Tamandua tetradactyla: one gene and its partner. The protein of the gene in region 1 purifies or fractionates together with the protein of each later gene. This does not show direct contact. Links are inferred from orthologs where the notes say so. Each region holds a gene or a part of one and is shown on either strand. Other genes may lie near its edges. The genes, in order: GNAI3 and RIC8A.

Evidence for each region.
Region 2: the proteins of GNAI3 (region 1) and RIC8A purify together in Homo sapiens (affinity purification with mass spectrometry; 3 studies listed by BioGRID and IntAct, counting the BioPlex papers as one, with this or other methods). This does not show direct contact. The link is inferred for Tamandua tetradactyla from reciprocal best matches to the Homo sapiens genes GNAI3 and RIC8A.

Annotation. Positions count from the first base shown.
Region 1 is NC_135337.1:13,327,084-13,336,353, forward strand, and holds the start of GNAI3 (guanine nucleotide-binding protein G(i) subunit alpha-3), read right to left. Parts: upstream 3,784-9,270; 5' UTR 3,636-3,783; coding exon 3,518-3,635; intron 1-3,517. Other genes in the region: GPR61 (G-protein coupled receptor 61), read right to left, coding at 8,004-9,270. UniProt on the Homo sapiens protein: Heterotrimeric guanine nucleotide-binding proteins (G proteins) function as transducers downstream of G protein-coupled receptors (GPCRs) in numerous signaling cascades.
Region 2 is NC_135335.1:33,330-41,631, forward strand, and holds the start of RIC8A (chaperone Ric-8A), read left to right. Parts: upstream 1-4,504; 5' UTR 4,505-4,603; coding exon 4,604-4,687; intron 4,688-4,880; coding exon 4,881-4,928; intron 4,929-5,026; coding exon 5,027-5,623; intron 5,624-6,055; coding exon 6,056-6,144; intron 6,145-6,638; coding exon 6,639-6,789; intron 6,790-7,712; coding exon 7,713-7,808; intron 7,809-7,893; coding exon 7,894-8,038; intron 8,039-8,188; coding exon 8,189-8,302. Other genes in the region: BET1L (BET1-like protein), read right to left, coding at 1,277-1,444, 1,583-1,639, 1,867-1,958, 3,039-3,057.

The DNA of each region.
Region 1 (9,270 bases):
TCACCTAGCTGCATGCCTCACAACTTCATTCCTTCTTGCAGCTGCTGTGTAGTTCACTGTACATAAACACTACAGTTCCCCTTTCATTTCTCAGTCACTGTACCCCTTAGGTCATCTCTATTCATTGCAAATCACAAACACTGCTGCCATAAACATAAGTATGCAAATGTCCATTCAAGTCCCCATTCTCAGTTCCTCCAGGTATACATCTAGCAACAAGGTTGCAAGATAATACGGCAACCCCACCCATAGCCTCCTGTGGAACCATCACGGTGTACTTCTGAGGGGCTACCGTGCGGTTAAATTCTTTGCTCTGGGCCTCGCAGGTGGGGACTGTGCTCTTATCCATCATACTAGTGCTTCCTAACTTTTGTCCTATCATGGCACACATCGAAAATTATAGTATTGGTAAGACCAGGGTAAAATGGAGGGACTTGGTGAAAAACAAATATTTACTTTATACTATGAACTTCTGACACGAAAAATAAAATGCAAAATATTACAGATGATATTGAATACTGATTTGGCACAAACTTTCTAAATAAAATATTTTCAAATGATCAAATTCAGGAAGTTTACAGAGGGAATTAAACGAAAAATGATCAAATATCATTTTAACTGTTGTACAATTATGAAAAATTACAAAAATAATTTGAAATTTCAACACTATAAAAAATGTGCAAGTAGTGCATCTGTAAGGCATCATATGCTCTAAGCACACTGACTGGGAAACTGCATAATGTAATTTTGCTTTTCAAGAGAACACTGACTGAACACTAATTTGACATATCAAGAGCTTCCCAAAAACATCTAAAGACATCAAAGATATATAACAAAGGAAAAATTGCCAATACTGAAGTCTTCCTTAACTAATTCTGTCCACAGTGGTTTCTTTATTTGAATTTCTCTAATATCTAGAATCTCTAACATTCATTTTGGCTTAATACTAACAAACAATACTAATAAATACTAATAAATAATTGTCATTGAGCTAGTACTATTTGACAAGCTGTATTCTACTTTACATTCTTATAATTAATCCTTATAGCAAATCTAAGAACCTTGATTTTCTCTGTTTTAACCATGAGGAAACTGAGAGAAAAAAACTGAATAAATCACTTTCCCAAGGTTAAAACTGGTAAATGGGAATTAAGACTTGAAGTAGTCTGACTTCAGAACCCACGTTATTAAGCACTATGCTAAGCTACATCTATGTAAAGAAGAAAATAAATTAATATTTACTAAATACCTATTATGGGCCAGGAGAGACAAGGGTAATGTAGACAGATCTCAAATTAACTAAGTTCTATAGTTTCACAGTGATGAAGTAAAAATGACTTGCACGCACATCAAAGGAGGTATTCTACGACAAAGAATTATTTGTGTACCATGACGGGTACCTTCTACTTACAGAAATAGCAAGGAAGATCATTTTAATTTCATATGTTTCTTATGATACAGTTGAAGCAAGAGCATTCGTCTCTCTGCAAGCTATCTGAACTTGCTCAAGAATACAAAAACACTTAAAAAATAATAAATCTGATAAAAATTCAAAACAAATGTTTTAGTAGTTTGATTTTTATTCACTGCTCTACAAGTTCCCTAAGTCATCATGTGTTTGATTTTGTTTTTAATTAGATACACTATTTATAAAGTCCTGAATAAAGATTTTTCTAGACATTTGAACAAGTTCTGCACGCCCAAGTTCTGCCTGCCAATTCCTGCCATCTGGAAGAATGCCTCACAGTTTATAACTACATTACAATAGGCCAATATCCTGCGAGGATTTCTGAAGATCAATGTAAATTAAAACACTCACAGAAGATAAGAATACACCTTTAATTTCATAACCAACTGATCAATAGAGAAAATGCCAATGCCTTGAGTGTTGTGGTTTATATTAAATATTTAAAAGGCCTCCAGGATCAATATCAACATTAACTGGCTCTTGCTGGTTAACAGCAAATATTTAAAAAACATCAACTACGTGCCAGGGATTGTGCTCATCCACAAATGATATCTATTATATAGTGGCAGTCTAGAACAATTAGAATTTATGCTTTCTGAAAGTTTGGGTATTCAAACTGGACGCTCAAGCTCCAGTGCCTAACTTTCCCCCTATGTCCAAATAAGTTGTTAACACAGCCTGTTCAACCTACAAACAACCAAATACGTTAACAAGAAGAGACAAGCAGGAATACCAGGCACATCCTGGAATACAAAAAAAGACAAGAGCTATGGTGGAGCATTCCCTCCTCCAGGGCAGAAAATTTGGCATTTTCCCTAAAGCAACTATTTTTGCTCCAAAGTCAAATGTTTTAAAAAGTAAAGTTGTTCTACTGCTTACAGAAATCATTACTCCTAATTATTCTTCTTTAACGGATCCCTAGAAAATACTAATAGTGAAGAAATGTGGCTTGATTTCTTGGGAAGCTAACGTCAAGGTACCTTATATGATTTATTGAGCCTCTAGAAGCCAGTTTCTCAAAAATTTTTAGACTAAGTCATGCTGAGTAAAGTGCATACAACTGTACATAAAAACCACTTAAAACCAATGCCCGGTAACATAAACAGTAAAAGCCAATATTTTGGTTTGAAGAGACCAGAAAAGATAAAAATAGTTCACAGAGCTCTGTCACAACCTTTACAGAAAACGTACAATTCCATATTTTATACTAAAATAGCTCCTTCATTCCCAGCGCACTATTCCGAGCAACTATTCGGCAACTCTCAACGTGTAATCTTTTACCCTCTACCTCTTTTGTCAAAACACAAGCATTCTTTAAATTCTTCAGCTGGTACCAACATCCACCCTTCTTTATAAAAAAAGGGGGGGTATGAAACCTTAAAAGAATACAAATGATAGAAAAAAGGGGTAAAGTATAAAGATAGCGTCAACACCCAAGGTCTTTTTCTTTAAACTAGAAAACTTGTCATTTCAACCACCTACCTTCATGTTCCTGGATAACTGAAGGCTCCTCCACCTTACAAATAGTTCAGAATGTTCCCTCTCTAACACGATAGGATCCCTGTGTGACCACCGTGTCCCAGCCTCTCTATTTATAATAATCATTCAAGTCTCCCAGCTTTATCCTGTCATTAAAACTCACAAGCCATTAAACAAGCCCAACACATCATACTCTACCGCGTCCTCACTCAATACACCAACCCCATACAAAACCTTCCCTAATATCAGCTCTTCCTTTAGGCATGTCCCATGTTTCTATCAAAGTCCAAATATCCTATCGCCCCACGCTCCCAAATTCTCTTTGCTAAACGCAATTCCAGCAAGGAGTCACACCCTCTACAGCCTAATTCCTACAACCCCAAAGCCCCACCCCTTCATCACGCCCTCCCGGCCTCAGCCACCAACCCCAACACCCCGCCCCAAGTCCGTCGCGCTCTCTAGATCCCATCGGGGTACTTTCCGCTGACCTGACGTGAGCCCCCGCCTCAGGCCTCCCCAAATGTCTAGGCCCTCCCGACCACCTCACCGGCCCCGCCCTGGGACCCTCACCAAGTAGCAGCAGCTTCACTTCTTTGGCTGCTTTTTCCCCGTCCTCTCGCAAGTTGCGGTCGATCATCTTGCTCCGCTCCACCGCCGCCTTGTCTTCGGCGCTCAACGTGCAGCCCATGGCGGCGGCGGGAGAGGGGACAGGGCCCGGACACACTCACACACCGCGGGAACTGCGGTTCGAGCGACAGAGACAGCGTCTGCTGCTGGGCGGCGGCCCTCTCTGTAGGCTCCCGGAGAGCCCGGAGAAAACGGATATCCGGTGTTTGCGACACTTCCGGAGACGCCCCGCGGCCGTCCCCTTTCAAATCTCTAGCTTGGGAACAGAAGAGGTGAACGAAAACGGAAGTGCTGGGAATAGAGGCGACGCGGGGCGGTGGTTCGTGAAGCTGCGAGGTCCTGTGGAGCCAATTGTACGCCACCCGAGCTTAGTCCCTTTTTCCCTTTTCGGCTGCTTGTTTTCCATAACTATAGACAAACCCGGGCTTGGCTTCTCCAGCTCTTAGAGGCCTCCCGACGTCACACAGCAGAGTTTGGACCTGGGTGGGTGTGGCGATTGGGGTGTAATTCCCAGGTTAAGAACGACTAGCCCTCACCCAGAGCTTTGCTGGTGCAATCTATCGATCCTGACCGGAAGGCTTCTTTGCTCTCTGGCGGTAGAGATCTGGGCCTGCCCAAGTTTAGATCCTATCCTCCTCCAGGGTCGTTTCAGCCAGGTTCTATAGGATGGGAACAAACTGCCTAGCTTGGGCCCCGGCCACGCCTCACATCTGATATCAGTAACACCAATCGTGCGGGGGGGTTAGCGATCCCTTTCTGCCCTCTGCTCGACTCACTGCCTCCTCCTTTCAAAGTGTATCGTGGTCCTTGTGCCATTACTTACACTGTGGGCTTGGGAATTACCCAGCTCTTATGTTGACTGAGGGCCATTTGCAATCACCAACTGATACCCTGTAACCTGAAAATTAAGCGTGTAGTTCCTGCTTAAAATTTGCTTGCTGCCCTTCTTCCCAATATAAGCCAATTATAGCGTTTACAGATGTCTTGGGTTAGGGGCTTAGGACTTGTGCCAAAATTAGTCACCCTCAGCCCCTCCTCCAAAACCACCCATTGCGGCCTGTAAAACTCCTAAAATTTCCTGTTGTACCACACAAAAAGGGAAGTTTTAGTAAAGCTTGACTTTCAGCTCAAGTGTCACCTGAAGATAAGTAAATCCCTGTGAAAGCCCAGACTGATACCCTTTCACAGGTAACCCTGAGTACTAGTGTGAAAATGCCCTAAATTTCTTTCACTGACAAATACCCCCCTCAGTGTCTTCACCATAATTTCTCAGGAGGAAGACTCTTTTGTAGATCCCAAAATCTTTGCCTGTGATTAAAAATTATTTCATTACCCTAATAGAATTTAAACCTTAGGATCTAAGGTTCCCAGCAGAAACGTTTATATGGTGATTGATTAATTAGAGTGATTCCTTGAGAGCCACCTTAGACTGCATCACCCACCATAACTCTTATCAATGCCAATTCTTCAAAGTTTGAAAAGTCTCCCATTCATTCCAGACTGACTCTTAGGATGAAAGGGACAGTTTTTTCATAATCAATATTTCTGGGGAAAAAGGGCAAGAGGAAAGGGAAGAAAAACCAATATTTATTGAGTGCCTATATGCCAGGTAAGGCTAGTGCTTCCATGTTTCATCTCTTAATCCTCACAACAACCCTGTGAGGTAGGTAATATTATCCCCATTTTTACAGATGAGGAAATAGGCTCAGAGAAAATTAAGCAGCTTTCCCATGTTCACACAGTGAGTACTAGATCTGACTCCAAATTTGCCCCTTTTCTACCATGCCCCTATATGACGTTAATTGAGAAGATCTGACAAGAGAGGATCTATAATTTTCACGTAAGACTGGGAGTCACCCTGACACTACCAGGAAGCCAAAAAGAATTGACAAGATAGGTTCCCCAATCTGTTGATTCTTCAATGATTGGAAAGTTCAAGTTTTGTCCAGGAATAGCTTCCGAGCTAAGGATTACATATTAAATTTTTATCGGGTTATTCTGGTGACTAGAAAACTGGGAAGTGACCATGTTTGAAATTGTTGGGCAGGTTCTCAGCATAACAGAAGAGTCTCTTTCATTATGCCCTTGGACAGAGAAGAATAAATGGCAAGTGAACCCATATATGTCAAACTATAATAAACGCTAGTGAGATCACAGTGTCAGGAAATTTCAGTCTGAACTAGAGAAATCCTTGCAATTAAAACTTTCTTCTTTGATGTATGTGAAGGAAAGGTTAGAGGGCAAAACCAAAAGAAAAGGCAAAATAAATTAATAAAATGGCTGCCAGACGTTTAATGGTTTAATGCCAACACCACCCACCACCACCCCTAGGATACGCCCCTTTCCTATTTCCACTGGACTCATACTGCCACCTGCTGGCAATACTTAGGGTCTACTAGCTGATCAGGGGTTTTAGGAAGAATAGTTTCCCCCCACCATCTAGGAATGAAATTCCTCAGTGTGAATTTACCTCAAAATGGAGGAGAGAGGGGAGTAAAGTACATGTTTTTAATCACAAAGGACTCCCCTCCCTGGATATACTATCTTTCTAAGGGATTTCCTCAATATAGTAGGCACTAAACTGGAGGAGTAAATGGTAGGAAGACAGAAACCTGGAAATTTTCCTAGGTGAAGAGGGGAAAAGGAAGGTTTGCTCAGTTTCCTTTCTTTACTTTCTTCACTAGAGAATTTTCATTTACAACCCCCATCCTTTCCACAATCTGCAGTAAGCCTCAGTGTAGATATTTTGCTGCAATGGACTCAACTCTGAAAAGTTAGAACCCTGGATATATTCTCCACTCTATTTCTTGAATATTTTCTACAGTGCTTTACCAGCTGTAAATCCCTGTAAAGTACAATATATCTGATCAAATTAGACTATGAACTCCTTGAAGGCAGTGACCACACATCCTCTCTGTAAGTCCCAGGGGATATGGGTATCCAAATATTATGCACTGAGTGGAACTGATAGAGTCAATGTTGATATCAGTATAGTCTTTTATAATAAAAATTATTTATTGGCTATTCAAAGGGGAAACTATCCCACTCCCACCATCCCATTTTCCCCATTAACATTGAGTCAGGCGTTATTCAAATGCAGACACACCACCATGCTGTCCGTGACTCTTTAGTGTCACCTGACTGTATTGACGGAAATGGGGTAGACAGGTAGTCCCACATCCTGTCCAGTTTGCAGTTATTCCCCTTCACTTGAAAATTTGGTTGATCCATGCGTTGGCCACCACTACCAACCAACACAGTTCCTACTGAATCAAACCGTGGAAAGCTGAGCCCAACTCCTGTGCCCTGTCTCCAACCCAGAGCTGCATACTGGAGAGAGATTTAAGTTTTTGTTATGAAGCTAATTTTGAGCACGATGAATGAAAGGGAGAAATTTAATGGACCATGGAAACCCCACCTTTCCCATGCCCAACCTTAGTCTCTTGTACCCTATTGTCCAGAGGGCTGGAGGTGGAGTCACTGCCATGAGGAGAAAGATCAGGGAGGTCATTCCTGGAAGGAAAAGGTGATCAGTATTATTGATCAAGGTGATTATCTGGTCCCTTTGTACCCAGTCACCTTAGCAATTCAAATGTTAGTCCCCCTACCCCCAGCTTTCTGACTCTGAAATGAGGGGGGAAAAAGCCATCCCTGTCTTATTTTTGCCTTTGCTGAGATTAAGCCTCAATCTTGGTCTCCAGGCATGGAAGAGAAACAGGGAAATAGAGCAAAAGGACTGTTCTTGAAGAGCGGAAGAGAGAAGCTGCAGTCAGCTTTCCTGTTTCCTACTCCATATACCCTGATTGCTACCTTCTCCTTACTTCTGGTAAAACTCAGAAAACTGGTAGAGAGAAATATATCCAACTGGTTCTCTCACTTTAAAGAAATATCAGGTATAAAACTAGAAAATCATCTATTAACTCAAATGGAAACACTTGGCTGTAATTTAATACTTGTTAAGCCTACCAAGGAGATGAGAAGACAGATCATTTTCTTACTTTGCTTGGGTGCAGTTACTGCCCTGGATAATTACACTGAAAAATAAAATATTCTGAATGGCCCCAGAATAAGGCCAAACCTGGCCTATATCCTTCAAATCCTACCCTTACAGAGCTTCCCTGCTGCCTGAGGCATGGAAAGTTCCCCAGTTGAGAGGCTTCACCTCACCTTTGTGACCTTTTCTCTCATCAGTGTCTCACCACTCCCGGGTTCCCTCCCCCAGTCATCAAGGCTCTCAGCCAAGTCCAAGGACTTTTGTCATATGTCCAACCTGTTGACTCTGTTCTTGACCCAGGAAATTCTCATCAAAAGATGGGTTCAGAGACCCTGTCCCGGCCCCTCCCAGCTGGGAAAAGGTGATCCCACAAGGTGGTCCTCGCAATCATAACCAACCCCCAACCCCATCTCCCTCCAAACATCCAGTAACCCATCATGATTCCTGCCGGGGTGAGGGGGCAGGATGGAGGTAGCTGTCCGACATGATGATGTCGCTAGTGAGTTGCTGTTCCAGGAACTCAGAGGTCTCCTCAGCTATCTGGCCTGGAATTCGAAAGTCGACAGCAGGTGGCTCCTGCTTGGGGCTAGGGAGTGGTCGTGGAACCCAGGACTCCGTGGGACAGCCAGTCCCCTGAAGGAACTGCAGGAAGTTCTCCTCAATCGAGCCTTCCCGGCTAGGCAGTCTCAGTTCCTCCTCTGGAGCTGGCTTGAAGAAGCAGACAAACTGCTTGCTGAGCTCCCCGCGGATCTGCCGGTTGAGACATCCATAGAAGAAAGGGTTGGAAGTGAAGCAGAAGTAGCCAATCCAGGTCACTATACTCTCTACCTGCCCAGCTGAAGTGGGCTGAGCACTCAGGGCGACATAGAGGTGGAAAGAGAAATAGGGCAACCAGCAGAGCAGGAACTGTCCCCCCACGGCTAGGAGGACCACTGCTGCCTTCCCGCCCCCAAACGTCCGGTGTGGGGTGGTCTGGGGGGCCCCAGAACTGGTGACCATGGTGGAGCGGCTGCTGAGCGATTCCGAGCGTTGCCGGGGCGTCTCCATCCACGTGGGCAGGGGCCCATGCTGCATGGCAGCCACGCGAGCCACCCGGAACATGCTGCAGTAGACCACAAGCATGAGGAGCAGGGGCAGCAAGAAGTAAAGGACAGCGAAGACCACCACGAAAAGCTGGCAGTAGGCACTGTGGCTCCATTGGAGCGAGCAGCCTGGGGGGTCGCCGGGAGCTCCTTCCTCTCGGGAGACCCTTCCCAACACAGGCACGGACGCCATGGCTAAGGCCTTCACCCACACACCCACCAGCACGGAGGCCACCAGCCCCAGCGTCATGCGCACCTCGTAGCGCATGGGGTGGACCACGTAATAGTAGCGCTCCACGTTGATGGCCGACACAGAGAGGATGGCCAGGCTGACAAAGCACACGCTCAGGAACAGGTAGAGGCGGCAGGTGACCTCCCCGAAGAGGGCGTGGTCAAAGAGGGTGGAGCTGGAGAGCATGGCCAGGGGCATGAGTGTCAGGGCGGCCAGCAGGTCCACCAGGCAGAGGTGAAAGACGAAGACGAATTTCCGGAGGGCAGGCGTCTTGGCGATGACAGCCATCACGGCAGCGTTGCCAGCCACGGCGGTCAGGTCCAGCAGGAGCATGAAGAAGAGGGCCACAGACTCCGAAGCCACGTCCCGCAGCCCCACCTCCGGGACC
Region 2 (8,302 bases), on another chromosome or scaffold:
CTTGAACAGAGGAAAGGGGGGGCAAGGGGAAAGAGGCAGGAGGGAAGGGAGAGGAAGGGGGGGAGGGAGAGGAAGGAGAGAAAGGGGTGAAGATTATTAGAAGGATGGGGCCTGGGAAGTGAGTTCGCAGGGCTGAAGGCTGCATCGAGGCTGTGGGAGCTGACTGCAGCAGGCTATGGCAGACAGCCGGTTTAGGTTTCAGAGACAAAGCCTTCTAAGCTGGACAAACTCAGAAAGAGGCCTTGCAAGTGGGTGAACTGTGAGTCAGGGCCTCACAGAGTGGCCAGGAAGGCAGAAGATGAATCAGATAGGACAGGGGAGGGTCCCAAGCTCAATGGCTTGGTCTTAAAGGCATTGGGTCTGACCTGTCCAGGGTTGGTGTGATGGTGGAGAGAGTACGCAGTGGGAAATGAGGGCCCAGGGAGGGCGGTGGCTCAGAGATACATGCACTCAGGAGGAAGGGTCCCTCACAGTGGGAGGAAGGGCAGGGTTTGGTGGAAGAATAAGTTAACCACACATGGCTGGCAACCCCTACAGGTGACAGAGGCAGCAGTGTCCTGTGAAAAGCAGGTGGAAGGCCTCACCCATACTCAGCCACTCCTGGAGGTCTGGTCTCGTGGAACCCATCTGCAAGGCTGGGTAAATGCACACCCTGAGTGTGAATTCCTGCTCTGAACAAGCCCAGAAGCGCTTAGGGCTCAGAGCCTCTGTATCCACAGGCCCCAGGGTTTGGCTCCAGCTGCCCTCTGTCTACCCCAAGGAGGGAAATGAGCGTGAGCACAGAGGGTACTGGGGGAGGAGCTGGCCTGCATTGGTGTGACCTTGCCCAGGCAGCCTTGGCCAAGAGCAGCTGCTGTTGGAGAGGGTGGGCCAAAGAGATAGCGCTGTTTCAGGTTTGAAGGTAGAGTCACTTTTCATGCCAGCCTCATGCTGCACAAATCACACACATGGCCTTGCTCAGAGGAAACGGTAGAGGAACCTTGAGACGCCTGAGGGCTGGGAGAGGGGCTGCCAGCACAGTGCTATGTGTCTTCAGGCTCCAACCAGGGACTGGAGGACGCTGGGCCTCCTTTCCCCAGGGAAAGTGTCCCTTCCGTGGATGGGACCAGCCAACAGATGCTCATGTCCAGAACAGGAAGAAGACCTCTGACCCACAATCGTAAATTCAAAGGAATGTTGTAGGGAAGTGCTCCGGAGCCCAGGAGCCCAGGTGGGGCACAGGGTGGCCCTGGCTGGCCCCAGCACCCGCAGTGGCAGCTCGCCCACCCCCGCTCGCTCACGTCCGCGCCCTGGACAACAGGTAGGAGAGGATGAAGAAGGCCACAATCAGGGCCACAGCCACACTGCACAGAAGCTTCCGGTTGTCTCGCCCAGACCGTGCCATTGTGGAGAAGCGCTTCACACTCCCAGTGAGCAGACCCGTCATGCTCATGAAATCTGAGTCCTGAGGGAGGAATCCCAGTACTGTTACACGCGCTGGCACCTCCACACCCACCTCTGCTGGTGCCCAAGAACAGTGCCCGACCCCAGATGGTGTGGGCCCAAGCTCAGCAGGGCACCCTAGAGCTTCAAAGGCTCTTACCATGCCATCCAGGTACCGGTTCTGGTCTTCTGCATCCCTATCAATGTCCAGGGCAAGCTGGCCAGGGCACAGAGAGGGCAGGTTCAGGCCAGGCCAGACATGGGGCAGCACCCTTCCTCCCCCAGGACCAGCCAGAACAAACGCCACCCTCACCAAACACGAAGGTCAGAAAATGCCCCCCAGGCCTCAAGTAGCCAGCAAGGAGAATGGAAAGCAGCCTGGAGCCCCCCAAGCTGCACCCTCCTGGGGGTCCTGCTCCCAAGAGAAAGGAGACCGCCACAGACCGATTTGAGCCTGGTGACCTTGGAGGCCAGGTTGTCGGCCATCCGCTTGTTGTCCCGGTCCAGAATCTCCTCCACGACACCGGGGCTCTGAGCTGTAGAGACAGGCTGAAGTTGTGCATCCACCCATGAGCACAATCCCTGACCCTCAGACCACAGAAAGTTGGCCCTTTGTGGCCTCAACCCCATCTGCCTCAGTCTGAAGTCTGGGCAGGGGTGGGGGCTGGGTCTCCACCTGTAACCCGCTGGGCAGGGACAGGTTTGTGGCCCTTGTGTTTGTGCAACAGTAAACAACCACGTGGGAGCATGTCCCCTGTACACATGCAGGATGTGTGGCTTGCCCTCTGGGGTGTACCCCAACAGGTTCAGCCCATCCGGCACGCCAAGCCAGACAGGACTAATCCCAGGGAGGCAGTGAGACGCAGTACCTGCCTGCAGCAAGGTTACCATGCATGTACCTCCCGCCTGTCCTGGGGAGGGCCCAGGGAAGAGCACTAGCTCAAGGAGGACAGCCGCGAGGGCTGTGTGGGCGTAACCTGTGACCTGGTCCTGAAAAAGTAACCGATAACCAAGGGCAGGACATCGGGGAGGCCCTTCTATACGGAGAAAAGGAAGCGAGCAAAGTTCCCTAACCAAAATGTGGGCAGGGTCCAGCCCCGAGGGCAGGGCCTAGGTTTGCTCACCTATGTCCCCACAGCACCTCCCAGAACAACGAGGGCACGGTGCGAGACCCGCCCGGTAACTCCGGCCAACCCCATTCCCCGCTGCACACCCGAACTGGACCAGTGGCGTGAATGTATCACATTCGGTGGGTGAGACTCGCCCTCCACGGGGCCGATACCCTGAGAGTCCGAGGCCTTAGGAATCTCTGACTCGTACAGACCCGGAAGGAAGGGGCGGCTGCGGAAAGGCGCCCCGTTGTGCCAGGCATTGTGCCACGCACCCCGCCAACGCCTTCGCGTCCGTTCCCTCCTTCAGTCGTCACGACAGCCCAGGAGAGCGGGAGCGGCACCCGGCCGGACCCTCCCAGGCCTCCGGCGGCGAGGGGGGACGCAGCCACGTATCCTCGGCGGGGCGCTGACTGGGGGCTGTCCCCTCCCGCCGACGGGCGCCCGGGGTCGGATCCAACCCCGGCCCGTCCCGTCCCCCGGACCCCCGGCCCACCCCGCGCTCACCCCGAGCCCAGTCCGCCATCGCGTCCAGCGCCGCCGAGGACGTGGCGCGGGGTCGCGGGGTCACGGCGTCGCAGGGTCACGGGGAGGGACTTCCGGCCCCGCCCCTTCTGCCGCCGCGGGCGCGGAGGGACTGAGGAGTCCGACGTTTGTTTCATTGTCAGTGGACCCGGGACGACCTGGACCCCGCACTTGGGAGCCCTTGCGCCATTCGCTTTAACGTCGAAATGTCTTTTCTCTCGGTTATTCAGGCGAGGTTAGGTCCTAAGAAGTGGGAGGAGCGCCAGCGCCTTTGCCGGGGCGCGGTGTTGGCGCACGAGTTCGCCGCCCCACTCGGCCTCGAGTGACCTGGGGAATTTAACCTTCGTGCATTTTAGTTCCCGAGTCTGTAAGGCGGTTTCCTCGTTTGAACTTAGACCATTGCCTGGAACAAGTAAACCTGAATAAGTGCTTTAAAAATAAAATGCAGATAAGTAACAGTGAACCAAGGAAAAGGGTTTGGGGAAGGGGCAGCGGAGACAGTAGGAACCAGTGTTTCCTGCTTTTGAATCCTGGTACCAAGGGCCTGGCATGACAGATGTGTGATAAAAGAACAGAGAGGTGGGTGAGTAGTTTGTATTTATGAATTACTCACCGCTACGAGGTATCTTCTGTGTGTCAGTTACGAGTGCCTGTAATCCTCAGTGCAACCCCTTGAAGTGGACACTTTCCCCTCTGCTTTACAGAAGAGGACACGAACTCTGAGCTAGAGCGCGTTTCAGGGTTTCACAGCTCGGAAGTCGCTGCACTTACTCCGGCCCTGCGTTCACCCCCGACCTCTGCCAACCGAGCCGTTCCTTCTGCCTGGAGTGGCCTCCCCCAAGTCTTTTCACGGTCCCCTATCGTGAGCATCAGGTCTCATCAGAAGTAGCACTTCCCTAGAGCCTTCTGCCGACCCCCCGCAATTGGGGACAACAGCAGCCTGTTGTTTTTAAAACCACAACGCTTAGGACCACGCAGAGTCGTCTTGTCTGTCTTTCCTTGTCCGTCTTCCCCTCTGGAACCAGCTCCAGGACGGCAGGGTCTTCCTGACCCGCGTCCCCAGCGCCTCGCCTGCAGCAGGCGCTCCACGACGCCGGTTTAGTAAACCAAAGGCTCTGAGACCGCAAAGCCCTCTCCGCTGGCGCTTTCCTCCTCCATCCCACTCATTCTGTGGATAAAGATGGGGGGATCGGGAGAGTTCTCCTTTTGAAATTCCGGCCCAAGAAGCGCACGAGGGAGGGGTCACGGTTTGGCCAAGGGGTGACTTGGGCCCCAAGCCGGCGGGTCCCGGAGTCGGGGCTTCAACGCCAGCGCCGTTCCGGGTCCACCTTAAACCGCGCACCTTAAGCGGCGCGCGGCCTCGCCCCGCCCCCCGCGCGTGCCGGCCCCGCCCCGCCCCGTCCCGGCCTCCCCCGCGCGCCGGACGCGGGCTGCCCGAGGCAGGGCGGGGCCGCGCGCGGGCTGGACTCGGGCTGGACTTGGGCCCCGCCGCGGCGCGACGTCCCCCCTGGCTCGCGGCCGGAGCCTTCGGGCGTCCTGGGGGCGCCATGGAGCCCCGGGCGGTTGCCGACGCCGTGGAGACGGGGGAGGAGGACGTGATCGTGCAGGCTCTGCGGACCTACAACCGGGAGGTGAGCGCAGGCGGCGGACGTGGGACGTGCATGGGGCGGCGAGGGGCGCGGGACGGTGCCCGGGGTGCACGCGGCGGGGACAGGTGCGCGGCGGGGCGCGTGCAGGCCCCGCCTGGGTCAGGCAGCCCCCCCAGTGCGCGGCCCCGCCCTGTCCGGGGTCTGCGCTCCGAGAACCCTCCCGGTGTCTTTGCAGAACTCCCAGAGCTTCACGTTCGACGAGGCTCAGCTGGACGACAGGAAGGTGGGTGGCAGCGGTAAAGGGCAGGGGCCGGGGGTCCTAGGAGGCGCCGTGGGGAGGGTGTTGGGGCTCCGGGCAGCCGCCCTTTCATCTGCTCACAGAAACTGGCGGAGCTGCTCGTCTCGGCCCTGGAGCAGGGCTTGCCGCCCTCCCACCGCGTCACCTGGCTGCAGAGTGTCCGCATCTTGTCCCGGGACCGCAGCTGCCTGGACCGGTTCACCAGCCGCCAGAGCCTGCAGGCCCTGGCCCGCCATGCCGGCATCTCAGCCCCCGAGGGCTCCGCCCTCAAGGCCCCGGGTGCGGATATGGACGTCGTGCTGGAGTCCCTCAAGTGCCTGTGCAACCTTGTGCTCAGCAGCCCCTTGGCGCAGCAGCTGGCAGCCGAGGCCGGCGTGGTGGTGAGGCTCGCCGAGCGCGTGCGGCTCTCCCGGGAGAGGAGCGTCCCACATGATGTCCAGTTCTTTGACCTGCGGCTCCTCTTCCTGCTCACGGCTCTGCGCACCGACGTGCGCCAGCAGCTGTTTGAGGAGCTACAGGGGGTGCGCCTGCTGACTGACACGCTGGAGCTGACCCTCGGGGCAGACCCCGAAGACTGCGCCCCTGAGTGCCTCCCGCACCAGGAGACTGAGCGGGCCATGGAGGTCCTCAAGGTGCTTTTCAACATCACCTTTGACACCACCAAGAGGGAGGCAGACCAGGTGAGGCCCGAATCCTAGGCCCCGCGACATGCCAGGAACCTAAACGGATCTGGCGTCAGGCATAGAGAGGTTAGGGGAGGCCAAGGAGGGGCTCCCTCCCAGGAGAGAGGCATCTGAGGGAGATAGCTGTTCCTGGGTCTGGAGGTCCAGGTGCCACAGGGTGTGTGGTGTGATGGCAGGCTGAAGGAAACAGCCACTGCAGAACCGTGGGTGTGGACATCTGCAGCCACAGAGTCTTCAGGAAAATGGCACTGGTCGGTCAGCCTCACCACCCAGCAGGGTCGTTTAGGAGAGTACAAAGGCAGCTGTGTGGCAGTCAGAGCCACTGGTTCTCTGGACCTGCAGCCTTGTGTTGGAGGAGGGGCAGGGTGGTAGAGCATGCCTTCAGCTGGCAGCAGCCGCCTTCAGGGATCTGCTCTTCTCTCTGGTCAGGACACTGCCCTTTACCGACACCTGGGCACCCTTCTGCGGCGCTGTGTGATGGTGGCTGCTGCTGGAGACCGGACTGAGGAGTTCCAGGGGTGAGGGCAAGGCTCTGGGCTGGGAGCTGTGTGTGGGGTGGGGGGAGCTCTGTACTTGGCCATGTCTGGCTGGGAGGGGGCCTGTTGTGGGATTGGGGTGCTTCTCAGTCTTGGGTATAAATAAGAACCACCTGGGAGCCCCATTTCCCTTCTTGGAGTCTGAGTTCGCTCCTCTGATGGGACTAGCAAAGTTATTCATAACACCCAAGACCAAAAGCTGTCAGTCTGGCAGAAGGGCATGCCAGCCTGGACCTTGGTGTCAGCAGATCAAGATTGTCACTTGCCGCCATTCTCCATGACCTACTTCCCAGAGAATGTCCATGGCGTGAGGCAGCCAGCCCAGACAGAGGGGTGGGACAGGCAGGGCTTCTCCTGCTTAGCAGGAACAGGGGACCTGGCTGGTGCTGCCCTCTGGCCCCCTGACACTGGCTCACATCGCATGTGGCCCAGCAGGGCAGGCACCTGCCCACCCTCACCTGCACCCCGGTCTGCAGCCACACAGTCAATCTCCTGGGGAATCTGCCTCTCAAGTGTCTGGACGTCCTGCTCCCCCCGGGGCTGCACGAGGGCTCCCTCGAGTTCATGGGAGTGAACATGGATGTGGTTCGTGTGCTCCTGGGCTTCCTGGAGAAGCGCCTGGACCAGGTGGGTAGGCGACCGCGGGACCCTGGCCTTTCTGTGCCGCGGCTCCGTCGTGGTCCTCCCCGCAAAGCTTGCACACCCTTCCTCTTGAAGCCTTCTGTTCTGATGACTGCAAGGATGCAGATGGCAAAACAGCCTGTTTTCAGAGTCTCACGAGTACTCGTACTTGTGCTTTAGACCTTTGGGGCGATACCTTGGGAGCTCCTGGGAAGGCCCCAGTCCCTGCTTGAGTTCCTCAGACTTGTAGATTCGCTGTGTACAGGCAGCTAACCCATCCATGGCTCCTACTTACAAACATCAGTGTCCTTGGCTGCCGTCTCCCACCTCTCCCCAGTATCCCTGGAACCACAGGAATCTCTGGGCAGGCCTGACAGGTCGAGTCCCTGCTGCAGATGAGGATGGGCACATCCTCATCCCACCCCCTGCATGGCACATGGCACTGGAACAGGTGCCCTTTGTCCTTGCTGCTACGGCTGCTGGTTTGTGGCCAGAGAAGTGACTGGAGGTACTGGGAGGAAAGGGAGTTTTGCTGTCTGTCAACAAAGCCCATAGCTCTGAGGCACCCCTGGCCAAGGGGCGAGTGGAAAAGCTCTTCCTCGGTCTGAAACATCTCAGGAACTGCCTTCTTCCTGTTTTCTATTTATAAATAAAGCATTTAAATGACTGTTTGAAATCAACTAAGACATTACTTTAAAAAAATGAGAAAAATCAGGAACATAGATGTTTTCATAAAAGATTAAAAATCCACATGAAGGGCAATGCAGATCCTTTGGGCAGCAGAGTAGTTAGTGTCTGGCCGAGAGGTGCATCCGCGTGTCCCTGGGGATCACAGCCACCTGCTCTCGGCCCCTCATCTCACTAACGGCAGCTGCGTGCTGGGAGGGGCAGGGCTGGGCGGCTGCCAGGTGATGGTGATTCCTCTGCAGACACAGAGGCTGAAGGAGGGCGTGGCGCCCGTGCTGAGCGTGTTGACGGAGTGTGCCCGCATGCACCGCCCCGTCAGGAAGTTCCTGAAAGCCCAGGTACAGGGCGGGTTAAGGCCAGCCTTCCGGGGGACGTGGAATGGGGACTGAGGACCCCAGGAACTGAGGGGTGGCTGCCTACCAGGTGCTGCCCCCACTGCGGGACGTGAGGGCCCGGCCCGAGGTGGGTGAGCTGCTACGGAACAAGCTTGTCCGCCTCATGACTCACCTGGACACAGATGTCAAGAGGGTGGCAGCTGAGTTCCTCTTTGTCCTGTGTTCCGAGAGTGGTGAGTGGGGGTCCCCCAGCCCTGGTTGGGGAGGGGGTGACGGGTAGGTGAGCAGTGTCGATGTGCCCATCTCCCCCCTACTGCCCAGACTGGAAACCCCACCCCAGCCCACCCGAACCATGTCGGGACACTGACCCCACCCTCCCCCAGTGCCCCGCTTCATCAAGTACACTGGCTTCGGGAACGCTGCCGGACTGCTGGCGGCCCGGGGTCTTATGGCAGGGGGCCGGGACAGGGGCCAGTACTCAGAGGACGAGGACACGG